Tamandua tetradactyla: one gene and its partners. The protein of the gene in region 1 interacts with the protein of each later gene in a pairwise test. Links are inferred from orthologs where the notes say so. Each region holds a gene or a part of one and is shown on either strand. Other genes may lie near its edges. The genes, in order: TRIM37, PRC1 and COPB1.

The links.
Region 2: the proteins of TRIM37 (region 1) and PRC1 interact in binary tests that used the Homo sapiens proteins (3 or more experiments, as listed by UniProt). The link is inferred for Tamandua tetradactyla from reciprocal best matches to the Homo sapiens genes TRIM37 and PRC1.
Region 3: the proteins of TRIM37 (region 1) and COPB1 interact in binary tests that used the Homo sapiens proteins (3 or more experiments, as listed by UniProt). The two-hybrid records come from large-scale screens. The link is inferred for Tamandua tetradactyla from reciprocal best matches to the Homo sapiens genes TRIM37 and COPB1.

The regions. Positions count from the first base shown.
Region 1 is NC_135332.1:40,336,742-40,346,706, forward strand, and holds the start of TRIM37 (E3 ubiquitin-protein ligase TRIM37), read right to left. Parts: upstream 6,803-9,965; 5' UTR 6,577-6,802; exon of another isoform or gene 6,532-6,576; intron 1-6,531. Other genes in the region: lysophospholipase D GDPD1, read left to right, coding at 6,967-7,108. UniProt on the Homo sapiens protein: E3 ubiquitin-protein ligase required to prevent centriole reduplication. Probably acts by ubiquitinating positive regulators of centriole reduplication.
Region 2 is NC_135338.1:98,269,111-98,279,075, forward strand, and holds the start of PRC1 (protein regulator of cytokinesis 1), read left to right. Parts: upstream 1-3,038; 5' UTR 3,039-3,147; coding exon 3,148-3,215; intron 3,216-9,965. UniProt on the Homo sapiens protein: Key regulator of cytokinesis that cross-links antiparrallel microtubules at an average distance of 35 nM. Essential for controlling the spatiotemporal formation of the midzone and successful cytokinesis.
Region 3 is NC_135334.1:89,868,117-89,878,081, reverse strand, and holds the start of COPB1 (coatomer subunit beta), read left to right. Parts: upstream 1-3,959; 5' UTR 3,960-4,112; intron 4,113-4,843; 5' UTR 4,844-4,900; coding exon 4,901-4,991; intron 4,992-8,635; coding exon 8,636-8,865; intron 8,866-9,302; coding exon 9,303-9,472; intron 9,473-9,965. UniProt on the Homo sapiens protein: The coatomer is a cytosolic protein complex that binds to dilysine motifs and reversibly associates with Golgi non-clathrin-coated vesicles, which further mediate biosynthetic protein transport from the ER, via the Golgi up to the trans Golgi network.

The DNA of each region.
Region 1 (9,965 bases):
ATATATAAAACTAATAGAGCAGCACATACATACATTCTTTTTTTTAAAATTTTTTTATTAATCAAAAAAAAGAAATCAACACAACATTTAGAAATCATTCCATTCTACAAATGCACTCAGTAATTCTTAGTATCATCACATAGATGTATGATCATCATTTCTTAGTACATTTGCATCGATTTAGGAAAAGAACTAGCAAAACAGCAGAAAAAGATATAGAATGTTAACATAGAGAAGAGAATTAAAATAATAATACTAATAATATATATATATAAAAAGGAAAAAGACAAAAACAAAAGATTCAAACAAACAAACAAAAAACCATATTTCAGGTGCAGCTTCATTCAGTGTTCCAACCTAGTTACATTACACTTAGGTATTATTGTGCTGTCCATTTTTGAGTTTTTGTATCTAGTCCTGTTGCACAGTCTGTATCCCTTCAGCTCCAATTACCCATTATCTTACCCTGTTTCTAACTCCTGCTGGTCTCTGTTACCAATGATATATTCCAAGCTGATTCTCGAATGTCGGTTCACATCAGTGGGACCTTACAGTATTTGTCCTTTAGTTTTGGGCTAGACTCCCTCAGCATAATGTTCTCTAGGTCCATCCATGTTATTACATGCTTCATAAGTTTAGTCTGTCTTAAAGCTGCATAATATTCCATCATAGGTATACGCCACAGTTTGTTTAGCCACTCGTCTGTTGATGAACATTTTGGCTGTTTCCATCTCTTTGCAATTGTAGATAATGCTGCTATAAACACTGGTGTGCAAATGTCCGTCTGTGTCTTTGCCCTTAAGTCCCTTGAGTAGATACCTAGCAGTGGTATTGCTGGGTCGTAATCCATTCTGCCATTCTATGTCTTTTGATTGGGAAATTCAGTCCATTAACTTTTAGTATTATTACTGTTTGGATAATATTTTCCTCTACCATTTTGGCTTTTGTATTATATATATCATATCTGATTTTCCTTCTTTCTACACTTTACTCCATGCCTCTCTCTTCTGTCTTTTCGTATCTGACTCTAGTGCTCCCTTTAGTATTTCTTGCAGAGCTGGTCTCTTGGTCACAAATTCTCTCAGTGACTTTTTGTCTATAAATGTTTTAATTTCTCCTTCATTTTTGAAGGACAATTTTGCTGGATATAGGAGTCTTGGTTGGCAGTTTTTCTCTTTTAGTAATTTAAATATATCATCCCACTATCTTCTAGCTTCCATGGTTTCTGCTGAGAAATCTACACATAGTCTTATTGGGTTTCCCTTGTATGTGACAGATTGTTTTTCTCTTGCTGCTTTCAAGATCCTCTCTTTCTCTTTGACCTCTGACATTCTAACTAGTAAGTGTCTTGGAGAACGCCTATTTGGGTCTATTCTCTTTGGGGTGCGCTGCACTTCTTGGATCTGCAAATTTAGGTCTTTCATAAGAGTTGGGAAATTTTCAGTGATAATTTCTTCCATTAGTTTTTCTCCTCCTTTTCCCTTCTCTTCTCCTTCTGGGACACCCACAACACGTATATTTGTGCGCTTCATATTGTCATTCAGTTCCCTGATCCCCTGCTCAAGTTTTTCCATTCTTTTCCCTATAGTTTCTGTTTCTTTTTGGAATTCAGATGTTCCATCCTCCAGTTCACTAATTGTAGCTTCTGTCTCTTTAGATCTACCATTGTAGGTATCCATTGTTTTTTCCATTTTTTCTTCTTTGTCCTTCACTCCCATAAGTTCTGTGATTTGTTTTTTCAGATTTTCTATTTCTTCTTTTTGTTCAGCCCATGTCTTCTTCATGTCCTCCCTCAATTTATTGATTTGGTTTTTGAAGAGTTTTTCCATTTCTGTTCGTATATTCAGCATTAGTTGTCTCAGCTCCTGTATCTCATTTGAACTATTGGTTTGTTCCTTTGACTGGGCCATATCTTCAATTTTCCGAGCGTCATCCATTATTTTCTGCTGGTGTCTGGGCATTTGATCAGATTTCCCTGGGTGTGGGACCCAGCTGGTTGAAAGCTTTTTCTGTGAAATCTCTGGGCTCTGTTTTTCTTTTCCTGCCCAGTAGGTGGCGCTCGTGGCGCTCATCTGTCTGCACGGCAGTCGGCCCAGGAAACCGCGCGTGGAGGCGGGGGTTGCTGGCCGCCGCGGCTTGGGAGAGTGCTGGTCCTAATTGCCCAGCTGGCCCGAAACACCAAGCATGACGGGAGGGCCCCGCTATCCAACGTTCCCAGTCAGACCGGGGAGCCACGTGCGTGGAGGGGACCCCAGTCGCCAGCCGCCCCGGCCGGGAAAACGCGCGCCCCTCGGGTATCTCACCGCAGCAGATTCTCCCTGCCCGTTCAGCTGTTCCAGAATGGGGTACGCTGTCTTTTTGGTCTCTGTCGTGACTCCGGGAGCTGTTTCGTATTGTTTCTGTTTCTTTAGTTGCTTTTCTGGAGGAGGAACTAAGACCCGCGCGTCTTACTAAGCCGCCATCTTCTCCGGCTCTCTTTTACAGGTATTTTCTTCTCTGTTATAACTCCACCTTTTCCTTTGATCTTTCTTCCAATCTTTAGGGGTGTCTGGGTTATGCCCGTTCTAAATTTTTCATGTTGGAAAGGGCTGTCGATAACATGGGATAGAGGGACAGAATTAGTTGTTCTGGAGAAATTGGCCACTCTGCATTTCAGGACTTTTCTGGTCCAGGGCCCCATCTGGAGGGTGTAGGTTTCTGATCACGTGCTCGGGCCTCCGGGAGCGCCACATCGCCAGCCGCACCCCTCCACCTCCACCCTGCCCACGTGCCATACATACATTCTTGATAATAATTATAATTTATCTCAAATTTCCTTCTTTAAAATATCGCATAATTATAGCAATTTGAGGGATGGTGAATAAGTCCGGGTTAGTTTTAGTCCTACTTTATGTAATCATGTAAACATTCTAGTGCTTTGCCTGGTACATGTAAAACTCGGGTAAGCGCCACAATTTTTAACAGTTTTGTAGACTTAGTTTGTACCTTTTTATACCTTTTCTTGGTCTTTTCCAAGCTGGACTTAGTTTTTGTACGTTTATGCTTTATATATAGTAGCCTCTAAAATCCCTTGGCTATTTAATTGCCCTTTTTTTTTTTTTTTTACCAGCCACAACTTTGTATCTGTTCTAAAATGTGGGAAATAAAGTACTTATTAGTTTATAGGTTGGAATTCTCCAAACTTTTTGCACAAAAGCCAGCTGATATTTTATGTTTAATTTTCAGTACTGTTCATATTGTTTATCAGCCCACGTCAGCACAGCAGCTCACTGGTTTGATGTCTTTAGGAAATAGTCTGGTGTGACTTCTACCCTCTTGGACATTGCATCCCATCTAAGCTTCAGCTTATTCATCCATAAAATGGGGAAAATATTTCCCCTGCCTACCTCAAATAATAGCTAAGGTTTAAACATTTAAAGTAAGACAATGGCGGGTGCAAGGGTAGTTCCCGCCTGCCATGCAGGAGCCCCAGGTTCAATTCCTGGCTCCTGCACTTCTCCCCTTCCCCCACCCCCAAATTTTTTTCAACAAATGATGCTGCAATAATAGCATAGACTCATGGAAAAAGAATGAAATGTGACCCCCCACCCCATACAGCATACATAAAAAAAAAAAAAAAGATCATGCTCATGGAAGTCCTTCGTATATTCTAAAGTACCTCATAAATATAAAGGATAATTATTACTCCTTTGCTTGTTACTGATAGTTCAGATCCAATTATATTCTAAATACAATTTAAATATTTTTCCAAAACTTTCCACAGTAGAAATGATTCTGCTCATATGTATAGCAATGAAAATATTTTTCTATTTGAACAGTTATAAACATTTCTAAAGTATACATTGCATCCCATGGTTCCTTTTTTTTTTATTATAAAACCTTAACAAATAAATGTACATTCTCGACGTACAAACATTCCATTCATGGTGTACAATCAATGGCTCACAGTATCATCACATAGTCGTGTATTCATCACCATGATCATTTTTTTGAACATTTGTATCACTCCAGAAAAAGAAAAACCTCATACATACCATAACCCTTACCCTTCCTTCTCATTGACCCATGGTTCCTTTTTATTGCAAACATTCTAGAGGACTATATCAGTTGGCTATTACTTCCTTTTCTCCTATCAAATTATATGTACTTGAGCATTGAACTGATTTTATCACAGCAATTTTCTCAATATAAAAGTGAGTATACTGAGTTTATAATTCCATTTAAAATATTGTCTTTGTTTTTGAACATAGCTTTGTAGTTTTTGTGAAACTAATATATGGGCATTGTGTCATGATTTTTTTAACTTTTTTTTTTTTAACAAAGGTAAGAGTAAGTTACCTGAATTCTATTGCTCTGAGTTAACTGGTAATATTACAGTGAATATCCATAGCACATATAAATATGTATTCATTTTAATATAATTGGAATCTTAGAATACATATTCTGTAATTTGCTCTTTTCACTCAACAATATATGGTAAAAAAAAAACAATATATGGTAGACATTTTTCCTTGTCAATAAATGTAAGTCTTTATCATCATTTTTTATGTCTGCATAGTTTTCATTATCATTATTTACTTAACCTGTTCTTTATTGTTGGATTTAGGGCTTCTACAAACAATGATGAATACTTGTGAAATTTTCTTTGTAGAATAAACTCCTAGACCTAGAAATGATGGGTCAAGGAATGTACACAATTTATGTTTTCATACATATTACTAAATTGCTCCTACAGAAAATTGGCCCATGCTCTAACCTATTATCAGATTCCCTTATTCATAGTTGGAAATCCTGTTGGCAGTCTCTCAGTACATCAGCATAGTAGCAATTTAGTACAGTAGTTTTCTTACTTTGAACAGTAGTATCACAACTAACTCATGAGCTTCTTCAGAATTCTGGGGTTTGTTTGTGCCTTCTGGTCCTAGTAATATGTGTCCCTCATCATTTGCCTCTACTGTCTAGAACACTAGTGATTCAGACAGTACAATTTTACATGAGATTGAAATGACAAGGAATTGTTGGACTAGAACCCAAGTGTTCTTTTCACTGCTTCTTGGATCTGCCGAGTCTGATATGCTTCAAAGGACAGTTTTGAAGTAGGAATTTCCCTTATGGTATATTCCATAAAGAGCAAGACTATTTGTTTCAAGAAAACTGATGCTATTTCCTCTTTAACTTCTTGACCAGAATGAAATAGCAATATCAGTCACTAGATGTAAAGTCTTGGGCAAACTACTTACTTTTTGTACTTTAATTTTACCTCATTAGATCCTCATAACTGCCCTGTGAAATTAGATACTACTACAGCCATTTTACAGATGTAGAAACTGAAGCTGAAACTAAGTGGTATGCCAAAGTCACTTAGCTTGTAAATGGTATACCTACGTATAAGGAGTCTTAAGTCTAGAGATCTTTTTTGCTAATCTACAGGTACCTCCATATCTGATAGTTACCTATTTTTAGTTAATGTTTATTTTTCTGGTAATAGTTATCAAATACATGTATGTGTCTGTGCTCATTCTAAGTAGTTGTCAATAAATTTAAAGAAGAGTTGCCATCAGGTGATATTTTGGAAAAGGGAAACAGAAACTTACATATCAGCTGATCTTTATGATATAGTTTGATATAGTTCTTAAACCTTAACAGACGGTTTTTCAATCTAAGTTTTCTTAAAATGTTTTACTTTTTTAAAGTTTGGTTTTATTTGGACATTTGTACACTTAGTTCTTTTTCTTCTAAAAGGCATTTACCATTTCTTTGGTATATGGGGTCAGATCAAGAAATAGTTTGCTCATGGTAAACTGATGCAAAAGTCATTTCCAGCTACTTTTTTTATTCCCCAGCTACTTTTTTAAACCTAATGAAGACCCATTTTTCAATAATCTTCTAAATTTTGTTTACTCCTCTTAAAGATAGACTTTTTAGGAACAATAGCATGTATTATTAGCATAGAAGTAATCATCTATTCAAAATTCTCTTATTTTACAGACAAAAGTAAGAGAAAATGAGTGATTTTATCCAAGGCTGGAGCAAGAATCACAAGATTTTAAATACTCGCTCTGCATTCCTCTTCTGTGGGAGACATTTACTTGCAAATTGTCTCCTTCAGCTCTGGATGCTTTTGCCTTTTATTGTGTTCTTATTGTTTTAGTAGTTTGCAATGTGTATGATAAAAGTGAAACAAATAGGGCCTTCTGGAATTTAGTTGCCAGTCTTTCTAGGATATTTAAGTGATATCCTAAAATCTTGCCAGCGTTTCCTTATTTTAAATGAGATTTTCAGTCAACAAATATTTGAGTCCTGACGTGCAGGTGGCACGGGGAATTGCATTTTCACAGTGAATTGAAGGAGGAGAGGAGTCGGTTTCTTAAATATTTGACTAATAAACTAGTACCTTTAACTGTATATGACAACAGGGAAAATTTTTCCTTGGCTAGACAAACTGAGGGGTTTATTATTTGTTTAAGCAAACGTTAACACCTCCATCAGTAGCAATTCGTTATATTTCCTAGAATAGGGGCTAAGAAATACCTTGGAGTCTTTCCTTCCTGATGTGATTTCCCAATTATGTCATACCTTCCTGAGGCTGCACTTAAATCCCACTTTTCTGCATGAGCGATGGCGAAGGCACTGGCAGGTTTCCAAACGTCTGCCTCAGTTGGGAATTTCTTCCAAATGTTGCTGTCAGACCACAAAGCTAGCTGGTAAAGTGCTCACAACCGAACTTCAGAAGGCGCCTACCCAGGAGCCAGAGCGCGCCTGCGTGTAGGAGCCCCTTTGTTACTCCGGCGCTGGGGTCTGGCTGCGCCTGCGTGGTGAGCCGGCAGGGACAACTGCGCTGCGCGACTGGCACCAGCTGGGGGCGAGCAGATCTCCGACAGTCGCCGCCGCCGCCGCAGCCGTTGCGACCATCGCAGCGGAGTTCAGAGGGCCCGGAGGTGGGGGACTTCCCACGCTGGGACTGAGATGTCGTCCACCGCAGCGTTTTATCTTCTCTCCACCCTGGGAGGGTACTTGGTGACCTCATTCTTCTTGCTCAAATACCCGACCCTGCTACACCAAAGAAAGAAGCAGCGATTCCTCAGTAAACACATCTCTCACCGTGGAGGTGAGAGGGGTCCCCAGAACCCGATGGCAGAGGGGGAGAAGCTTTTTTACCGACTAGAGCTGAGGGTCTGTTGGATTTTCGAAAAAGGCAGGCGGATGGAAATAGCGTAAGAGTTTGAGGAGGAAAGCGAGTGTGTGCAGAGAGGACATCCCCGGAGGTGAAGACGGTGTGAAGGGGGAGGTCTCTGAGGGAAGAGAAGGAGTCTTGAGGCAGAGCCAGGGTGGTCACGGTGATGGGGTCTCTCCAGGGCAGAGGGTGCGGTATGAGGGGTTCTGTGAAGGAGGAAGGAGCAGGGTGACAATGAGAGGTAGATAGACGGAGCGTTTCTCGGTGGGTGTTTAAGGATAATCGCAAGGTCCCATCACAGCTGCGAGACACATTGGGGGAGCGCGGTGCAAGACTGGCGTACCCAGCCTGGGGAGCTGGGTGCTCACGGCTCGGACAGCGAGCGGGTGGCTGAGCGTGTGGGGAGAGCCTGAGTGATGAGCTTGGGCACCTGAAGGCTTCCAGGGCTTGGGAACAAGATGAAGCCCGTGCAGTGCTGCATGCAGCCCGGGTATGTGTAGTCCCCGGGGGCAGGTGCTGCCCCCACGCTTTGAACACTGCTGAAAGCGGTGGCCCAGAGTCACACAGAGGAAAACCGAGGCCCATTGTCGGGGGACACTTCCCAAGGTCACCGTGGGAACTTGGGCAGGAATGGGAAAAGAACTGGAGTGACCTGGCTCCCAAGGCTGCAAACCTTGCACCTATTTTATTGAGCCTCACTCTGCACCTCGCGGTGACATGTGGATATCTAAACGGCTAAAAGATGACTTAGTTTATGACAGGACATTATTGTTTAAGGAACACAAAGACAAATTTCTTTTGGAAAAGTGTCTTGCTAAAAGGAGTCTAGGCAGTCCACCCTCTAATTTTCCAGGTTACAGCCCAAATCTTTTCTTCTTCATTATTGGATAATAATGTGTCTTCATTGCATTTCAAGGATGATGTACGAAATGTTGTGAGATGGGATTATTTCAGTCCATTTTAACTGTTCTTTAGGGATGAATTTCAAAAACCAGATTAAAATTGCTTGGGATTTACTGTCTAAATCTTAAACTGGTAAATTCTAGGAGATTACATTCTAAAATTCAATTCAGTACCAAACACCTTTTCTAACAAGAATTGTCATCCAGGACTAAAATTTAAAATGTCACAGAAATACATAACCTGTACAATTTTGTAGTTATAGTTTTGAGTAGTAATCCTAACCTCCTGCTCATGAAAAGCATCAAATATTTAAAGGGTTACCAGCTATAAAGTGCCATGTTATTGCTTATTTGGTTTATTTGTGTTTTAATACGTGATTAAGCTGTGAGATGACATGACTAATGTACCTTCAACCATTCGAACCAAGAACTGTTAGTGTTTAAGATGTTACCACAGAAGCAATTTTCAGCGTTTGTAGTCCTATTTTGGGATTATGCAGTACCCATTGTAGTTACCAATTTATAAAAAGAAAAGTGTGCTTATTAAAACAAAAAAAAAGGCTTAAAAAAACAGATTCTCTAAAATCTATGTTGTCATTAGGTATGTTCTAAATTTTATATTAGGAGAAATACATATTAGTGTTTTAATATTTGTGACACTCTACAGGTGAAAAAAAGATGAAGTCCAAAGAGGTTAAAAAATGTGCCCTACAGGGTGGGCTATGGTGGCCCAGCAGGCAGAGTTTTCACCTGCCCTGCCAGAGACCCGGGTTCGATTTCCCATACCTGCCCATGCAAAAAAATAAAAAGGGCTCAACAATGCAACAAGTACCAAAGCTAGGATAAGTTAGGCCTCTGATACTCATTTACTGTTGGGAAATATTTCTTAAATATTTTATCCTTATGTATTAAGTCTTTTCAGTGGTTTCAGTTTAACCCCTTCTATAACAATTTCCATTCATTTTTTATAAATCTGGCATTAATATTTCTATATTCAAAGATGTAACTGAGAACCTTGTTAAAGATCTGCAGACTCAAAATCTGTTTATTTACCTGCATGATGGTCCTAAAAGCACCTGAGAGTAAGTTCTCATCTCTTAGTGATTAATAGGCTTTTGTTGAATATGTCCACCAAAGAATACAGTTGATTCGAGAGATATAGAGGAGACATTTACTAAAAAAGCATTTTGTAATTCAAGATAGTAAGTCTATGGAAAATAAGACATAGTTGACTAGAAAGAGTTCAGCTCCTCCCTTGCATTTTATTTTTGAGTTGGACTGATCAGAGATTTAGTCTCTGTGTGCAAATTGTTAACATTTGGGCTTATTATCTCTTCCTGTAACTGCATGTACCTCAGATTCCATGTAACTAGATTATTGACCATTCCAAAATTGAAACACTGATTATTATATGTACATAAAGTATATATACCTGAATTGGTATAACCTGAATCACTTAAGGTCTACTACATTATATCTACACAAAAACATTATGATAAAGACTTAGACAACCTGAATCAGATTCTGGTGCTACAAGTAGTTAGCCTTAGGAATAAGCCTTAGTTTCCTTATCTCTAAAATGGGGACTTTTTGCCTTACCTGTTACGTCTTTGGGTTGTTAAATGGATCAGGTATATTAAAAGCACTTTGAAAACTAAAATTGCTTAGAAATATAAGTGTGGATTCAGAGGATCTGCAGTTGTATTTTGCAATAAAACATAGGATTATAGAGAAAGAATGAGCTTATCCTATACTTACATTTCCAAAGTTGTAATACATTTGCGTTTTACTAAGATGAATTATTATTTTTTTTTGGGGGGGGGTGCATGGTCCGGGAATCAAACCCAGGTCTCCCGCATGGAAGGTGGGCATTAAGATGAATTATTTTT
Region 2 (9,965 bases), on another chromosome or scaffold:
CCTGCAACCCAACTGTCAGAGGAGGGCGGGGAGCCAGGAAGGGAGTGGAGACACTTTTAGTTACTTTTCTAAAATATTGTCACTTCTCAGGGGGAAAAGCTTTTGATGCCTCTCTATCAGGTGCTCTCATCACAGCATATAAAGCCCTTACCTGGCCCTAACCTACTGACCTGCCTGGTCCCCTTCCTTCAGGAACTTGTCGCATATTCCTCCCTGCCTTGTCCCTGTGTGTCTTCTGTTTCCATCTGGCCTGCCTCTCCCCTCTCTTTCTTCCGGCTGAACTCATATTCCTTTCCAAGTTCAAATCAAATGCCACCTCTGGAAGTTATCTTTCCTCCTGCAGGCAAGAATTATGTTTCATCTTCCAGAGTCCTATGCCACTTATTATATTCCTTTAATTGTATCATATATCACATTATTTGTCTTTCAACCCACCATTTTGTGAGCTCCTTCAGAGCAGGGATAAGACTCCATCAGCCAGCCAGTTTCCGGCACATTGTAGGTACTCAAAAAGCATGTTGAGGGGGTGCAATGGTAGTTTAGTGGTACACTTCTCACCTGCCATGAAGGAGACTGGGGTTCAATTCCTGGCCCATGCACTTCCCAAAAAACAAAACAAGCAAAACAAACAAAAAGCAAACAGACAAAAATTCAACACATGGTGCTGAAAAAAACAGGATACTCACATGGAAAAATAATGAAATGTGACCTGCCATACAGCATACAATAAAAAAAAGCATGTTGAGTGACCGGATATTAAACTGAGTAAAGACAGGTGGCTTGTGTTAGGACTTAGGTCTCATGACAGGAAAGCTGGGTGACTGGGAAATTTTATTATAGTACAATCTGTACAAGGGTCCTATAGAGGGGGATATTTTAGGTTGTACATATGTCACTAAAATAAAAACAGCAGTGACTTCCAAACAAAAAAAGGACAATATACAGTGTTTTCACGCTGGAGTATGCACTCTAGAATGGATATTTCCAATGTTTCTATGACTTTTTTTTCTTTTTGTATGCTGTATGTTGGGGTCACATTTCATTTTATTTTTCCATGTGAGTATCCTGTTATTGCAGCACCATTTGCTGAATTGTTTGTTTGGTTTTTGTTTTGCTTGTTTGTTTGTTTGTTTGGGAAGTGCATGGACTGGGAATCGAGCTGGGTCTCCCGCATGGTAGGAGAGACTTCTACTGCTGAACTACCCTAGCATCGCCCCCATGACTTTTACTATTGTTACATTTCAGTCGTAATCACACAAGTATGACTCAAACAAGGAAATGCTATGTTTTGCCTGCAAAACTAGCAGAGGTTTGAAAGTACCATGCTGAGGGTAAAATGAGCAAAGGGACTCCTCTGGTATTCTTGGTGGGGAAGGCAAATTAATAGAAGTGTTCAAATCATTTACATTCCATGACATTTCTAGGAGTCAACCGTCAGAAAATAATGCAAGACACAAAGATTATGAATGAAAACATTTAGCCTACCGTTATCATAGACGTTACATATTTATTAAAATTACAATCTAAATATCCATCAATAGCAAAATAGTTGAAGTATAGGCTGTCCACACGACAGGATATTATACCACCACGAGTCACTGGCGTAAACTGTTCCATATAAGCATTTGGGGATGTGGGACGTGTCCCGGCAGAAAAGGAGGGGGAACTACTACGTGTGGTCACCTGCGGGCTAAAGCGAGTTCCATGATAATTACGTACCCCCCGCGTAACCCGAAAGAAAGCTACGCCCAGGTGGCCTTTCACGCCAACCCCCGTGTGTGCATGGACCAGCGCCTCCTGGGCGGGTTTCCCCTCTGAGCAGGGCGACGAAACCCTACAGGAACGTGGTGAGGACTAGATGGGTGGTCCGCTTACAGCCGGCACCGGCCCGCGAGCCGGCGGCACCGGGCGCGTTCCCAGGCCCGCCCCGTCGGGGAGCGGAAGACGCGCACTTCGCCGCTCGGCGGCCACCTAGCGCCCTACCTGCGCGCCCCGAAGGGCGTCCCCCGCGCGGGAGCTCGAGCCCTCCCGCGGCCTCGGCGAGCCGCGGGGCGGAGCTCCAACGGATCCAGGGCCGGGGCGGGGGAACGAGCCCTCCCGGCCGCCGCGCCCTCCGCCTGCGGTCGAGCGCTTCTCATGCCCAGCCCCGCGAACGCGGGTCCGACTGCGCAGTTGCGGCCGCTGCCGGCGGGGGCGGGGCCTCGTGGGGAGCGACGGGACGCGGCACCAATCGCCAGGCGGCTCCGCCCGGGGCTCCGTTTTGAAATTCCGCGGGGCCCAACGGCTCGCGGAGCGGCTGTCCGAGGCGTGAGCGTCGGTTCGTGCTGCGAGCGGGCTCTCGGGGAGGAGGTCGCGAGCCTAGACGCCCGGCTGCGTGCAGCGTCCGCCATGAGGAGAAGGTGTGGGGCGCGGGAAGGGGCGACGTCGGCCTGGGTGCGGGCCGGGTGCGGGGCTCGGCGGCCTCCCGCGGCCGGGCGCGGCTGGGCAGGGCTGGACAGGGCCGGGAGGCGGCGGGCCGCGGTGCAGGGAGGCCGGGCGCTGAGGCTCCGGGGCGCACGCGGGACCCGGCGGGGTCTACGCCGGCTGGGGCCGAGGGCAGCTGCCCCGGAGGCGAGGCGGGGCGGGGGGCTCTGCCGGTCGGGTCCGGGGCGACGGGGGCCGGAGCCCCACCCTCGCGCGGCCCGGCGCTGCCTCCCGGCCGCGGCGTCGCGTTGGTTTAGTGAAGCCGGGACGCCGGTGGGAGCTGCTGGGTACCTGGGCGGCAGCGTTCTCTTACTTGGGTTGGAAAGGTGGATTAGTTCCCGTTATGGAATTCTTTTCCGGCCGTTAACAGCCTGCCAGACGGTGCCGGGAAAGGAGTGTCCGCCTCCAAATGCGGACCCGACGCGTGGCGCGGCCGCCCCGCAGCTCCGTGGTGTGGGGCAGGATGTCCGTGTCGGTTCGCTCCCCTCTAAGATGATGTCAGCGCCTGCGACTGTGTGTTAAGAGCTGTGGGTAGAAACGCTCACTCCTTTTTCTGAAAGTAGTAGGTGAATTATTGTAAAGACCCAGTATTAAACAATTTGTAGTTGTTGGCCAAATTTATTGCTTTGGGGCTTAGTAAGATTCTTTGTTCCATGATTACTAATTCCAACCAGTGTTTCTCAAATGTTGGCCCTGGGGAGAATGGGAATTGAATGCCAACCATTGGTACCATTGGAAAAGCAACTCTCAGGGTAAGATTGTGGGTTTATAAACATCTTAATATTTAAAGAACAATATTTTAAGTTGCTGTGGGTTTTCGCTAATGACGCACTCTGAGGGCTAGTAAAACCTTCCATGACATTGACAGTAATCTGTTATTCCACATCCAGTAAGTTTATGGATTGTTCAGCCATCTTCCGGTTTCCAGAGAGTAAATGAAGGGGAGAAAAACTTGTGTGTTAACTTTGGTTCCACATTGAGAGATAGAATTAGTCTTTATAGCAGCAATAAGAATTAACCTACTAAGGAATATCAGACATGGGTGATCTGGGTTTCAGATATTCATAGTTAGAAGTGGCCGTCAGAAATAGTCCTCAAAAACATGGTGGTTATCAGATGACCTCAGAATGTATTGTGGCCATCCATTCCTGCAGCTGATTGTGCTGGTGGTTAACAAAGCTCCTTCTCTAGAGAACTAGGGAAAATAGGACATTGGATCAGATAAAGTCTGCTTAAAGGCAGGAAATAATTTAGAAAACCACGTGAGATATTTTCCAGTCTAGTAACTTATGCTCAAGAGATGAAAAGAATTGGCCCTTTTACAACCTTCTTGTCCTTGGATGGTATTCTTGTAGGCACCATCAGTTTTTCAGTGATGCATTATAAGAAAAAATCTGATTTGTTCCTTTTACAGAATAACCCAAAAACATTTAGCAAGACAGTATATAATTGTACCATATTAATTACTATTCACAATGATCACCCTGAGATATCATATAAGATCATACATCATCTTTGGAAATGTCTAGCTGTTCTTTCAGAATTACTTCTTGAATGTTAACTAAATATGCAGGGTACCATTCTAAGTGCTGTGGATACAGCAGTGAACAAAATTGACAACCCTGCCCTCACAGAGTTTACATTTTAGTAGTGAAAGAAAGGTGGTAAATAAGTAAATTTTATATATATATATATTTTTTACAATATGAACATTCTTTTTTATCACACAGTTGTATATTCATCATCATGATCATTTCTTAGAACATTTGCATCAACTCAGAAAAAAAATAAAAAAACAGAAAAAAATTCATACATACCATACCCCTTACCCCTCCCTTTCATTCATCACTAGCATTTCAATCTACCAAATTTAGTTAATTGTGATAAGGGCTACAGAAGAAATCAAACCCAGAAAGAGAATAAGAACTATGTGCGTGAAGGAGAATTGGAGCTGTAGAGAGATTGTTGATGGCCTTCCCAAGAAAGTGATCTTCATGCAGACATTTGAGGGAAGAGATCCAGGTGGCTGAAACAGCAAATACAAAGGCTCTGAGGTGAGGTAATGCCTCCTATGTTAGAGAAAGCAAGGGGCAGATATACCTGGAGCAGGGTGAGCACTGAGCTTCAGAGAAGTAATGGGTTGCAAATGGACTAGGGCTCCCTAGGCCTTTGTAAAAGCATAGGTTTGCAGTCTGAGTGAGATTGGAAGACATTGGAGGGTTTTGAATACAAGAACAACATAATCTTTGTTTTAACAGGAGCCCTCTGGCTCCTGTGTTGTCAATAAGCTTAAAGGAGACAAGGCCAAAGCAGGGCCACTAGTGAAGAGGCCATTAAGATACAGACAAGAGATGATGGTGGCCTGCAGGGCGACAGGAGTCCAGGTGGTGAGGAGTGGAGTTCTCGTTAGGGCTAATGGCAGGAATTTGAGAGGTGTAAGAATGATGGTAGATTAAGTTCAGTATAATCTGAGTGTTGGGAACAGTGGGAAGTGTTTGTTTTAAAGATGCTGAGTCAAACATTTTTGGAGGAGTTTTCTTATGGCAAGGATTCCCATTTTCCCTCCCCTCACCCCCTGGAAACCTCTAATCTACTTTCTATCTCTGTGAATTTGCTATTTCTAGTCATCCCTTATAAGTGATATCATACATGACTTTATGTGTCTTATTTCACTGAGCAGAATTCTTTCAAGTTTCTTCTGTGATACAGCATGCCTTAGGACTTCATTCTTTCTTCTGGCCAAATACCATTTCATTGTGTGGCTTTTTCACATTGTGTTTATCCATTCATTTGTTGATGAACACTTGGGTTGTTTCCACTTTTTGGCTATTGTGAATAATGCTACTAATAAACACTGGTGTTCAGATATTTGTTTGAGACCCTGTTTTCACTTTCTGTGGGTGTATGCCTAGAAGTGGAATTTCTGAGTCGTGGTAATTTTATATATTTCACTTTTTGGAGAATTGCACATTGCTTTCCATGGTGGCTGTTTTACATTCTCAACAGCAAGGCATTAGAGTTCCAATTTCTCTGTCTCCTCTGTAGCAGTTGTTATTTTTTATTTTTATTTTTACTTTTTTAATAGCTATCATTTTGGATGTAAAGTGGTATCATTGGTTTTGATTTGCATTTCCCTAATGGCTAATGTTTTTTTAATTAATTTTTAAATTTTTTATACATAACAATCAAACACAAGCATTCTTACCATATGATCATAGATATTATAGAAAATCAGTTGACCATAGATATGTATGTCTAATTTTGGACTTTCAATTCCATTTCGTTGGGTCTGATTGTCTGTCTTCAAGCCAGTGCCACACTGATTTGACTACTGTAGCTTTGAAATCAGTAAGTGTGAGTCCTCCACCTTTGTTCTTCCTCAAAATTGTTTTGGGTATTCGGGTCTCTGACAGTTACATATGAATTTGAGGATGGAAAATACTATTTTTAAATCTTTGCAAGTTGTGCTTTCTTGTGAACTGTTTCTCACTAGAATATATGGTCCCCAAACTCTATTTTCCAACATGCCAAATAAGATTTGTTATATGTAACAAACTCCAAGGGACTATCAAGCTTTATCTGTATCACACATTTTGTGAGTATTGCTTTCAGTTAGTGGTCCACTTGCTGGAGTTTAGTAGTCCTCTTTATAGAGATATTTTGACTTGGCTTTAACTGGATTTAAGATCTGCAAATTTATGTCCCATTGCATGTCATTTTTAGTAAAAATAATTTGACTGAATTAATTAGTAACTTCTTCGTTTGTCACAAATCAAAAAAATTATTTGTCCGATGTTTTTTAATAATACCTTAATTAAGATATAATTCACATACCATACAATTTCACCTATCAGATGTACAATTCATTGGTTTTTAGTATACTCACAGAATTGTATAACCATTACCACAATTTAAAACATTTTTATCTTCCTCCTCAAAAAACCTATACCATTCTTAATGACTCCCCTTTCCCTCCACATCCCTCCCACAAGGCAACCACTAATCTACTTCTCTCTTGATAGATTTGCCTGTTCTGGATATTTCTTATAAATAGAATTGTACTGTACATGGTCTTTTGTGAGTAGCTTCTTTTACTTGGCAGGTTTTCAAAGTTTACTGCTGAGTAGTCCGTTGTGTAGATAGAACATGTTTTATTTATGCATCATTTGATGGACAGTTGGGTTGTTTCCATTTTTAGCTATTACGCATAATGCTGCTATGAACATTTGTGTCCAAGTTTTTGTGTGGGCATGTTTTCATTTCTCATGGGTGTATACGTAGAAGTGGAATTGCAGCGCCACATGTTAACCTTTTGAGGAATTGCCAGACTATTTTCCAAAGCAACCGTACCATTTACATTTCCACCAGCAGTGTAAGAGGGCTCAATTTTCTTCACATCTTGCCAACACCTGTTACGGCCTATCTTTTATTATTGCCCTTGTTCTAGTTTGCTAGCTGCTGGAATGCAGTATACCAGAAAAGGAATGGCTTTTAAAAGGGAGAATTTAATGAGTTGCTGGATTACAGTTCTAAGTCTGAGAAAATGTCCCAGTTAAAACAAGTCTACAGAAATGTCCAATCTAAGGCATCCAGGGAAAGATACCTTTGTTCAAGAAGGCTGATGAAGTTCAGGGTTTCTCTCTCATCTGGAAGGGCACATGGCGAATACGGCATCATCTGCTAGCGTCTTCTCCTGGCTTCCTGTTTCGTGAAGCTCCCTGGGAGGCATTTTCCTTCATCTCCAAAGGTCACTGGCTGGTGGACTCTGCTTCTCGTGGCTATGTCATTCTGCTCTCTCTGAATTTCTCATTCTCCGAAATATTTCCTTTTATAGGACTTCACAAACTAATCAAGACCCACTGAAATGGGTGGAGACATGTCGTCCCTTAATCCAGTTTAACAACCACTCTTGACTAAATCACATCATCCAGGGAGATGATCTCATTACAGTTTCAAACATACAGTATTGAACAGGAATTATTCTATCTTTATGAAATGGGATTTATATTAAAACATGGCTTTTCTTAGGAGACATACTTCCTTTCAAACCAGCACAGCCCTCCATTGGTGGATGTCCAATGGTATCTCATGGTTTTGACTTGAATTTCCTTGAAGACTAATGATGTTGAACATCTTTTCATGTGCTTGTCAGCCATTTGTATATCTTCCTTGGGGAAATTTCTATTCAGATTCTTTGTCCATTATGCCATATATTTTATTCAGAAAAATGATCACTTTTCCTTTTGAATGTGTTATAGAGCTAGGCTATTTATCAGGGTCTGAGAGCACATAAGTTAGAAGCATAGTGGACCTTTGGCAAGAATTCAGAGCCGTTCATTTTACATTTATTGAGCAACTACTGTGGACTAGAATTTGGTAAAATGAAGATGGATAAGATGTGATCCCTGCTTTGAGATGTGATCCCCCCGCTGGGGGACAGGGGTGGGGTGATGAGTACAAAGGTCTTCAGAGGAGGTGCTAGGCACTGGATGTGCAGAAGCATGGACTCATCAGAAGATAAGACTTGCTCATGGTTCAGTGAGGGGCTCCAAAAGTTCAGTCTTAGGGAGGAGTGAGGGGTGGGAACGGTTAAGAGACAAACCTGATATTTGGAATTTCTTTAGAAAGTTAAATACAGATTTGCCATATGATCCAGCAATCCCACTTCATGATATATACCCAAAAGGTTCATAAGTAGGAACTCAGACAGATATTTGTACACCAGTGTTCATAGCAGCCTTATTCATGATTGCCAAAAGGTCGAAACAACCCAAATATTCATTAATAGATGAATGGATAAGCAAAATGTATATACATAAAATGCAATATTATTCAGTCATAAAAAGGAGTGAAGTTCTGATACATGCCACAACATAGATAAACCTTGAACACATCATACGCAAAAGGACAAGTATTTCATTTACATGAAATGCCTTAGAATATGCAAATTCATAGAGACAGAAAGTAGATTACAAGGTGCCTAGGGTGGGCGGGTGAGTAGTAATAGGGAGTAATACGGAGATATTACTTAAAGGGTACAAATAAGAGTGTCTGTTTGGGGTGATGAGAAGGTTTTGGTAATGGGTAGTGGTGATGGTAACACAATATTGTGAACATAATTAATGCCACTCATTTGTACATAAGAAAGTGGTTAAAATGGGTAATTTTGTGTTGTATCTATGCTACCACAATAAAAATTTAAAGAAAAAAAAGAGAGACAGACAGACTCGAGAAGTCTTCAGAAGGCCTTTGCTGGAAGGTGGTGGAACTTTGTTGTCCCCTGGGGGCAGTGGGGTTGCCTGCAGTAGGTGGCCTGGTGGGTTTGGGCCTTAGAGAGAACCTGGTGGTCCCGGGCCAGCCAGGCTGTGAGGAAGGCTCAGGGCGCTTACTGCACTGATCTTTGTAATTTTTCTCTCCCCTTGCCCACAACTTTTTTTTTACTTATTTTTTCCTCTTTTTAAGATTTGAGGTATGCTTTACATACAGTAAAATTGACTCATTTTACAAGTAAAGTTTAAATTTTGCTAGTTGTATACATTTATATAATCTCTAACACCATCAATATATAGAACCATTTATTACCCTGAAAAGTTTCTTTGTGCTTTGCAGTTGATCCCCTCCCCTGATTCCAGGCACCTGGTTTGCTTTCCTTCACTGTAGTTTTGTCTTTTCTAGAATTTCATAAAATGGAGTCATAGTATATAGCCATAGTATATAGTATATAAACTCTTTCACTCAGCGTAATGTTTTCACTTTCCACTTCAGCATAAAGTTTTTGACATTTATCCATGTTGTATGTGGTTGGTTTATTTCCATTGCAGGAATATAATATTATTTACCCATTCTGTAGATGGTCATCTAGGTTTCTACTTCTGGACAATTATGAATAGTGCTGCTTTGACCAATCTTGTGCATGTCTTTGGTGAACATAAATCTGCATTTCTGCTAGGTATATATTTAGGAGTGGAACGGCTGGGTTCAGCCTTGGTAGATATTGCCACCTGTTTAAAGTGGTCATGCCAATTTTATTCCCACTAACAGTGTGTGAAAGTTCCAGCTTCTCTATATCCTCATCAACAGTTTATGTTGCTTGTTGTTTTAATTTTAGCCATTCTGTGGGTTAACATTTGTAATTTAAGAACAAAAAAGAGAAAGTGATAAATTTAAGTTTGTAAGAACCTCTCACCAGCAAACTCTTGTATTAGATGGAAGCTTATTTTACTGAAATTTTTGTCTGGTTTTTCTTTAATAAAAGCATTTATCATTCCGTATTCTACTGTCAGAGTTAGAGTCCAGTTTCTGAATATTAATTAGAAGGTTGGATTTCCATGATGTAATGTGATACTGAAGTTTGCTTTGTTGTTGTTGGGGCATTTGGGGGGAGAAGGGGAGGTGAATTAAGTCTGTGGATGCTTGTTTTCAATTTGCTTTAACTTGAGGTTACTGAGAAATAGTTGATTTAGTTTTTATAAATACTACCTCTAGACTAAAGTCTGGAGGCT
Region 3 (9,965 bases), on another chromosome or scaffold:
CCTTTTCTTTCTGGCTAATCACACTCAGCATAATGTCCTTAAGGTCCATTCATGTTGTTACATACTTCATAACTTTATTCTGTCTTAAAGCTGCATAATATTCCATCTTATGTAAATGTCACAGTTTGTTTAGTCAACTGTGTGTTGATGGACATTTTGGCTGTTTCCATCTCTTGGTAATTGTTAATAATGCTGCTATAAACATTGGTGTGTAAATGTCCATTTGTGTCCTTGCCTCGTGTCCTTTGAGTAGAGACAGCATATAGGTTGGTCCTGTTTTTTAATCCATTCTGTCAGACTATGTCTTTTGATGGGAGAGTTTAATCCATTAACATTCAGTGTTATTACTGCATGGGTGGTACTTTCTTCTACTATTTTGCCTTCTGGGTTTGATATGTCATATCTAATTTTCCTTCTTTTTACCTTTACTCATAGTCTTCCTTTCTACACTCTTCTCCACATCTCTCTCTTCTGTCTTTGCATCTGTCTCTAGTGTTCCCTTTAGTATTTCTTGCAGAGCTGGTCTCTTGGTAACAAATTCTCTCAGTGATTTTTTGTCTGAAAATGTTTTAATTTCTCCCTCATTTTTGAAGGACAATTTTGCTGGATATAGAATTCTTGGTTGGCAGTTTTTCTCTTTTAATAATTTAAATATATTATCCCACTGCCTTCTCGCCTCCATGGTTTCTGCTGAGAGATCTGCGCATAGTCTTATTGGGCTTCCCTTGTATGTGATGGCTTGCTTTTCTCTTGCTGCTTTCAAGATCCTCTCTTTCTCTTTGACCTCTGACATTCTGATTATTAAATATCTTGGAGTATGTCTATTTGGATCTATTCTCTTTGGGGTACGCTGCACTTCTTGGATCTGTAATTTTAAGCCTTTCATAAGAGTTGGGAAATTTTCAGTGATTATTTCCTCCATTAGTTTTTTTCCTCCTTTTCCCTTCTCTTCTCCTTCTGGGACACCCATAACACATATATTCTTGCGCTTCATATTGTCTTTCAATTCCCTGAGTCCCTGCTCATATTTTTTCATTTTTTTCCCTATAGCTTCTGTTTCTTGTCATATTTCAGATGTTCCGTCCTCCAGTTTAGAAACCCTATGTTCTGTCTCTCGAAATCTACCATTGTAGGTTTCCATTGTTTTTTTCATCTCTTCTACTGTGTCTTTCATTCCCATAAGTTCTGTGATTTGTTTTCTCAGACTTTCAGTTTCTTCTTTTTGTTCTTTCCTTGCCTTCTTTATATCCTCCCTCAGTTCATTGATTCGGTTTTTGATGAGGTTTTCCATGTCTGTTCGTACATTCTGAATTAATTGTTTCAGCTCCTGTATGTCATTTGAATTGTTGGTTTGTTCCTTTGACTGGGCCATATCTTCAATTTTCCTAGTGTGATTTGTTATTTTTTGCTGGTGTCTAGGCATTTAATTACCTTAATCAGTTTATTCTGGAGATTGCTTTCACTTCTTTTATCTAGGGTTTTCTTGCTGGATGAATTTGTTGTCTGTTCTTTGACATTCCGTTCAGCTTTATCTGGACCTTTAGCTTAAGTTTTGTTTAACAGAGGAGAATTTTTCAGTTCTTGTTTTCTTGTTTCTTGCCCTGCTTGTGTGGTGCCTTCCCCCCACACACACTTAGGAGGGTCTACTTGGATATTATATACCCCAGCCAGATTTTCCCAGACCAAACTGACCTCCTATCAGGAGGAAAGAGTCACCTGCGTCAGTTTTCCCTGAGGGTGAGACCCAGCAGGTTGAAAGACTTTCCTGTGAAGTCTCTGGACTCTGTTTTTCTTATCCTGCCCTGTGTGTGGCGCTTGTCTGATTGCAGGCCCCACCAGCATAAGATGATGCAGTACCTTTAACTTTGGCACATTCTCCCTGCTGATGGCGTGGTGGAGACAGAGGAGAGGTTGTAGGCTGGTTTTAATGGCTTCACATTACCGAGCCCTGGTGTCTGAATTCCTTGATGGATGGATTCCACCTGAGCTGGACTTCACCCTTCCTCTGGGGAAGGCACAGCCTCCAGACAAGCCCCCAAAAGAGCTCACTTCTGCCTATGCCTTGGGCAGTTGCAGCCTGAAAAGGCCTATCACTGTATCCAGAGGCAGTCAAGCCTTTGTAGATACACAGCCACAAAAACCTGTTTCCTTCCTTTTTTTCCCCCCTCCCCTTTTTCTGTCAGTACTCCCCCTTTGGCACCGGGGCAAAAATGAGCAACCTCCACTTTGATCAGGTTCACCTAAGCTGGGGGCCTATTTTTAGTAGTCAGAATTTGTTAATTATTTTCACAATTGGCGTTTGATTGTGCCCAGTCCCTGCTGCTGGTAAAGTCCTTTCCTTTCCCCTCTGGGAAGCGGCCTGTGGGGGAGGGGCGCTGGCCACCGCAGCTTTGGGAACTCACGGTTCTGGGGGGTACTCGCAGCTGGTCCAGCTGGTCCAGACTGGGGTACGCTGTGTGTTTGGTCACTGACGTGGCCCCAGGAACTGTTCTGTACTGTTTCTGCTTATTTAGTAGTTGTTCTGGAGGACGAACTAAAACGTGCACGTTGTTAAAGCCGCCATCTTGACCTGGAAGGTGGCCTTGATTCTTGAAGAAGATTGTATAACTATATAGCATTTACAATATGACTGCGTGATTATGAAAACCTTGTGTCTGATGCTCCTTTTAATCAGGGTATGGACAGATGAGTAAAACAATAAGGACAAAAATAAATATGGGGAGGGAATGGGTAAAAAAATTGGTTAGATTGAGATACTAGTGGTCAATGAGAGGGAGGGTAAGTGGTATGGGATGTATGATTTTTTTTCCTTTTTATTTCTTTTTCTGGAGTGAAGTAAATGTTCAAAAATGATCATGGTGATGAATACACAACTATGGTATGATACTGTGAACCACTGATTGTATACTTTGGATGTTCTAGTTTGCTAGCTGCTGAAATGCAATATACCAGAAATGGAATGGCTTTTAAAAAGGGGAATGTAATAAATTGGTAGTTTACAGTTCTAAGGCCAAGAAAATGTCTCAATTAAAGCAAACTTATAGAAATGTCCAATCAAAGGCATCCAGGAAAAGATATCTTGGTTCAGGATTTCTCTCTCAAGTGAGAAGGCACATGGTGAACGCAGTCAGAGTTTCTCTCTCATCTGGAAAGGCACATGGTAAACATAGTCAGGGTTCCTCTCTCACCTACAAGGGCACATAGCGAACTCAGTGTTTCCTTGCATCCACAAGGATTTGCTCAATTCTTCAAATATTTGGTTATTAATAATCGGCCAGGAAACCTTCTTTTGTGGGGGTAGGGGATCACAGACAGGCAAAAAGAGATTGTTTAATTGTATCTGTAGCAATTAGTTTTGTGGGGAAGATAAAACACTTTTAAAACAGTTACTGTCGATTCCCTTTGACCATAAAATAATTTTAATTTCCTGGATGCTCAGAATCACAAACGGAAGCATTACTAAATAAAGAGCAGAAATCATACCGGTGCGACTCGGACTTTGATATTTAAGCTACTCTCGCCGAACTGCAAAGAAGGCGAGATCAAACAACTGAAGATGTTAGGAACTGAAAAAGATCTAGCAGATAATACAGCGTTCCTTATTACAAATACAGAAATTACCTTCCCAAACAGTAATCAATTACTTTCTTAATTCGTGGGTGAACTAGAAAACAATCCCGGGCTTCCAGCTCTCAGTCCAGTGCTTCCTCTGGACCCAACAGCCATAAAGTAAGTCTCCCCTCTCTACGCGTTTCCTCCCCACGGCTGTTCTAGTTCCTGGAAAAGGGAACGATTTCTAAGTGGCGTGTGAGGAACCACAGCGCTGACTTCAGCGCTTGGCCTGCAGGGAAAACTTTATGTGTTTCTACTTTCCTTTGCGGCTAAAACCAACAGCGGACCGGAGAAGTAAACGATATAATTGGCGGCGCGCAACCGCAGAACGGAGACGGCATGGCCTCTCTGACTTGCCGTAGACACTAGATAGCTGCAGGTCTCGGTCGTTTTCCCCTCCCCTTCCACGTCAGCCTGGGACTCTAGGCCCGCTGCAGCCGCTGTTTGGAGCCGGAATAGACCGTCCTGCCGTTGTCCGAGCCGCTGCCCCTCGGAGCCAGGTAGCGGGCCACTAGCCCCCAATCCCAGAGGCATGGCGGGCAACGTAGAGTCTGTGGAACTAGCTTTCTAGCTGAGAGATGCGAAGGGGGTGACTAGGCCGCTGGTGTCGGGGCCTGGCGAAAGGGAACAGGGGGGCTGGGGAGTTCTCGGCCCGAAGCCCCACACCGGCCTGCATGCTGGCCAGGGGTCGTCTCCCTTCCAGGATCCCTGGATTCGCCCTTTCAGGCCCGTACTGGCATTACGGGAGGAAACCGGGCTGGGGATGGGGTGGGGGGCGTGCAGCGCACCGATTGAGGGACTGACTGACGGACGCAGAATTGAGAGCCCAATGGACGGGATAAAAGCGCTTTAAGATTTTGGCAAAGTGTTCATGCAAAGGGTCTCATCAACTTGAGCAGTTCGGATTGTATGTTATGTTAAAGATTTGTGGGGTGGAGCTGAGGGCTGTCACTGTTTTGTGGACTTTAATTGTATAGTACAGCATTCTCAAACCCTGGGCGGGGTACGAGGATGCGATAGGGGATAAATAATATCCCTTAACCTGGGGCTAACTTGTTTTATATTACATTATGATTTATTTTCATAGAGACCCAATAGAGATTGACCCTCCCCTCCTAATATTTTCAAACCATTATGCCCAAGCGAATGAACTTTAGACAGTAAAGGTCACAGTAGTTACTGGTTTGTGTGTGCTTAACATGTAATGATATCTTGTATTTATTTTTTCTAGATTTTCTGGCGTCTGTCAACCTTAAATCTTTTATTGGGTTGATTATAATCGGAAACCATGACGGCTGCTGAGAACGTGTGCTATACGTTAATTAACGTGCCTATGGATTCAGAGCCACCATCGGAAATTAGCTTAAAAAACGATCTAGGTAAACTTTAATAATATTTTGAAAACGAAACGGTAAAAAGCTAAAATATGAAAACAAAAACTCATTAGGATTTCAACTTCCACTGGAAAGACTTACTTTTTGTCTAAATATTTCTTTCTAGGGTCTCTTCAGTAGACCTTCTGTCTTATTAAAGTGAAAACTTGTTACCTTTAGACTTGAGATATTGGGCTTTGGAAGTAGAACATTTCAATTTGCTTAGTAAAACTAAATGAAAATGTTATCGTTTAGTTGTTAGGTATCCTTCTGCATAATGGTTTGTGAAGTTAAATGTGTTATGCTTAAATGAACTGAGAGTTCTCTGTGGGTAGCAGATTGAGGATGTGTATTTGAATGTCTTACTTTCTTTGGGAAGTTAACTTCATATTATGTGGATTATAAAATGAAAAGGACTTTGTTCTTAGGTGAACAAATGAAGTCAACACAGGAATAAAAATGTGTTTTCCGGAAAGGTTTGAGTTCTTCATTTTGAAAACATTTTTTGCAAAGATAAAAACAAGAAAAAATTTAACTTGAATTTTGAAACTATATATTGTGTGTTTGTGACTGTTGAAAAAACACCTCTTAGAAAGTAATGCACTTTGCACTTTCCAAAGTAATGAGCCTTGTTATTTGAACTATTACCATAACTTTAACTTAACCTGTAACTAATGTTTAAAATAGAGTAGCGTGAAATTAATATTTCAGAACTTAAAAGTATCTTTCAGAAGGCAGTTTGCAGTTTGGAAAGAAACTTAACATTTTACTTGCCTGTTCCCCACCTCTTAATCAGCAGTAATGGAATATCTCCTGATTTTTGGGTACTTTGTATTAGATTTCCGTTGGAATCAATTATTAGAGAAGGGAAAAGCAACTCTCTTTTATGACATTTAAACTGATAACATTTTATGCAAAGGCCACGTATATAGTCGTCTTTTTTTTTTTTTAACATTCAGGTAAGATAGTAGAATGGAATGTAAACTAGTGAATAAATTCTCAATACTGTTCTTCTTCTTATAATTTAAAAGTTCATATTAGACTTCAAAAATGCTTATGGTTGTAGCTGGGAAGTTAAAGAAGGAACTCAGTCCTTAACTGGAACAATACTTTTTCTTTAATTCCAGCTGTCTAAACTACCTTCCCCCCACCAATAAATAAACAAGTAGTCTCAAATTTTGTGTATTTTTTTTTTTGCTCATCTCAGAATAATTGAGATGAGAAAAAGTTTAAGAGCTATTTTTCAGTTTTAAGTAACCAGATATATGTATATTTTTTTGGCATGGGCAGTCTCCGGCAATCAAACCCGGATCTCTGGCATAGCAGGCGAGAATACTGCCACTGAGCCACCGCCCAGCAGATAGTTTTTGTTAGGTGAAATATTGAAGTGCTTTAACTATTTTCTTTTCTTTCCCTTCAGAGAGTAGTTGTGAGGTCCAATAACTGTACATTCCTTGGAGTAGGAAGTATTTAGTGTATTTTGGTGAATTCGATTAGTACTTGAGATTTTCCATTTTTTGATAGTGTTCACAGAAAGAAAAAGTTTTGGAAATTTTGAAGATGTGGAAAGAAGCATCCTTCCTTTCACCTCAATTTGAATTGTTGGGGATAAAATGGAAAGTGGGGTGAGGGTTTGAAATATAAGTGGTGTCAATTTTTTATTTTTTGGCAAATTGACCATTAAATTTATTTTTAAAACTTCTAAATTGTTTTAGTGTTAAAAAATTTTTATGCTTTTTGAAATTTGTGTCCTTTATGTCATCAAATATTTAGAAAATTATCTCTCTCTGTTTTTTTTTAAAAATTATTTAGAAAGGGAGCTTTGGAACAAAGAGAGGGAAAGCCTGTGTAAGCTCATTGAATATGACTTTAACTACTTGGAACTTTGCCTTATTTTTCTTATTTTCTTAGTTATTGCTTTCGCCACTGTTAGTTCTCCTGATACTTTGTTTTTGTCATTCTCACTGACTTAAAAATGGAAAATTTGCCTAGATGGATATTTACTTCATCTTGTTGCATTTATTTCTTGTTTTGATAGTGTACGCACTAATTATTTTTTTAGTGACAGGAGAGTGAAGCAGGGGAAGATGCATGAGAAGTTAGCCTATATTAAAATAAAAATGTTGGCTAGGGAATACATTGTCAGTAACCTTCACTATATTTTCAATCCAGATATCTGAAGGTGGTCTCTATTCTGCAATATGTGAAAATATCATCCAACTAGTAGTAGGTATATAGATAGCCTTTGGGTGCTGGAAAGAACTTTTGATTTTACCTAGTATAATTCTTCTGAAGCTTAAATCCTTCCTGTAATCCTACCGTGTGATCATTCACAATCTCTAATGGTGAATAGAAACTTTGGCAACAGGGAATTCTTTACATCTTAAGGTAACCAGTTATTTAACAGCCAATTAGCTCTAATTATTGGGCATTTCTTTGTCGTGTTTGAGCCCAAATCTACTTTTATAGTAACTTTTGTCTATTAGTTCTAGTTCTGTTTTTTAATTCATGATAACTCTCAAGATTATCAAAGACTCTTGGGCGGGCCGCGGTGGCTCAGCGGGCAAGAGTGCTTGCCTGCTATGCCGGAGGACCCCGGTTCGATTCCCGGCCCCAGCCCATGTAAGAAACAAACAAACAAACAAAATATAATAAAACAAGAAAATGTTTAAAGATGTCTCCCTTTCTTCCTCCCTTCCTTCCTTCCATCCTTCCTTCCTTCTCTCTGTCTTTCCTTCCCTTCCTCCCTTTCTCTTTAAAAAAAAAAAAAAAGATTATCAAAGACTCTTGTCCCTTTTTGTCTTCCCCCCCAGATACTATTTTTATGATCTAAATAATTGTAGTAGCAACTGTGTTTGTTTCTTATATTTCTGCCTTTGAATTTTGGATCAAAAAGATTTTTACTGCCATATATTCTTCAGTATGCAACAGTGTTAATGATGTGAAATTGTGGGTTGTTTTGCATAAAATACTTTATATTGCTTATTTTCATGCTGAATAGCAGTAAATTAGCATCTCAAATGTTTCCTCAATTCTAAATAATAGTTAGTAATGTCAAACATTTTAATTTTCTTCCAATTTTTCAGACAATTTCTTAGGAAAAGGTCTAAAGTTTTATAGTTTGTAGAAATATGATGAAATTTAGAATTCATCTAATTTATTAGTTCCTAATCTTTTTGAGTATGAGGGTCCTGTTCCTGTGTCACTGTTTCCCCCAGTAGTGGCTGTGACTCTGAAAAAAATACACTGACAAAAACTACTTTGAATTTAGAAGCACTTATCATAACAGTATCTATATACATTTTGAAAAATAGCTGCATGTGTGTTTCACACATTATTTGGTATACCTATACATTCATGGACTCTGTATTAACTCTGTGGCCCATTAGTTAGGGACCAGAGGTATAAACCATTATCTTTGTGTTGTATGTAGAGAATCTGGGGCTCAAAGATAAATGAGTTATGCAGAGATATACAGCTTGTTCATGGCAGAACCAGGAAGAGAAACCGATGTCACTTGGGTTAGTACCATGATTACCATTGCCAGCTACTAACAAAGTGAGAAAATGTTTTATTTTGTTAACTACTTTTTAAATTATCTGAGGAATTTTCTTTCAAAATGGGGATTGTACTTTTTTTTTTGAAATTAGAAAAAGGAGATGTGAAGTCAAAGACTGAAGCTTTGAAGAAAGTAATCATCATGATTCTCAATGGTGAAAAACTTCCTGGACTTCTGATGACCATCATTCGTTTTGTGCTACCTCTTCAGGATCATACCATCAAAAAATTACTTTTGGTATTTTGGGAAATTGTTCCTAAAACAACTCCAGATGGAAGACTTTTACATGAAATGATCCTTGTATGTGATGCATATAGGAAGGTAAACCAATCAGTGTATTATTATTTCTGAATATTGCTTTGATTTTAAGTAATATTAAAATTGGTAGAATGGGCTGTTTTAATTTTTAAAACAAATAAAATGTAAGTTTAGATATGTTGAAATTATTTTAGAATTTCTGTATACAAAAGTTATAAAGAGTTCTTGTAAAAAGTTTTGTTACTTTGGACATTTTCTATGCATTTTTATATGTGTTATTAATTAAAAACTTAATGCATATAGAATGTAAGACATTGATGATACAGATAAAATTTTGTTTAATTAAGAAGAATCTGTTGGAAACTGATAATATAGGTCTTTTTCCTCAAACCTACTTTCTGATTTTTTTTCATTGAAAATTTTTGCATTTAAAAGTAGTGGATTTTTTTCTTTTGTAAAAAGCTGACATTCAGTATTTCATGTATAAATTTTTGTATTAGGATCTTCAGCATCCTAATGAGTTTATTCGAGGATCTACTCTTCGTTTTCTTTGTAAATTGAAAGAAGCAGAATTGCTAGAACCTTTAATGCCAGCTATCCGTGCTTGTTTGGAACATCGACACAGCTATGTTAGAAGAAATGCTGTTTTGGCCATCTATACTATTTATAGGTAAATAAAGATTTACTCCTTTGGCTTAGCTTTATGAAGACTGTTCAGTCTTCTAGACTAGATTCCAAAGCCTTTGCATGCAGACTGTGTTTAGCTTGTAGATATATTTTGTTTGATCTGTGGAATATATTTTCTTTCATTCCTCAATATTGAAAAGTCAAAACATTTAGCTCAACATTGGGTCTTAGTTTCTGCATGACAGTCATCTCCTGGAGCTGAGTGACAGTAACTCCCTTTAAACAGGTTGTACACATTTCAGTTGACAGCAGTCCCTGTTATTCTCAATTGCATCACCCCAGCTCAATTCATTTATTGACTTCCTTAGCCCTTGTAGACTTTAAGTTTTTGTCACTGTTTTAGACTTCTTTTTTTGTGGAACGATCGTCATGTCTTTTTTACCCTTAGAGGCCTTGAGGAGGGACCTTTTTAATAGGAAGGTTACAGTTTTCAACTGGTTCATATTCTTTGAAAGCTGAAGATTTGGGACTTTAAG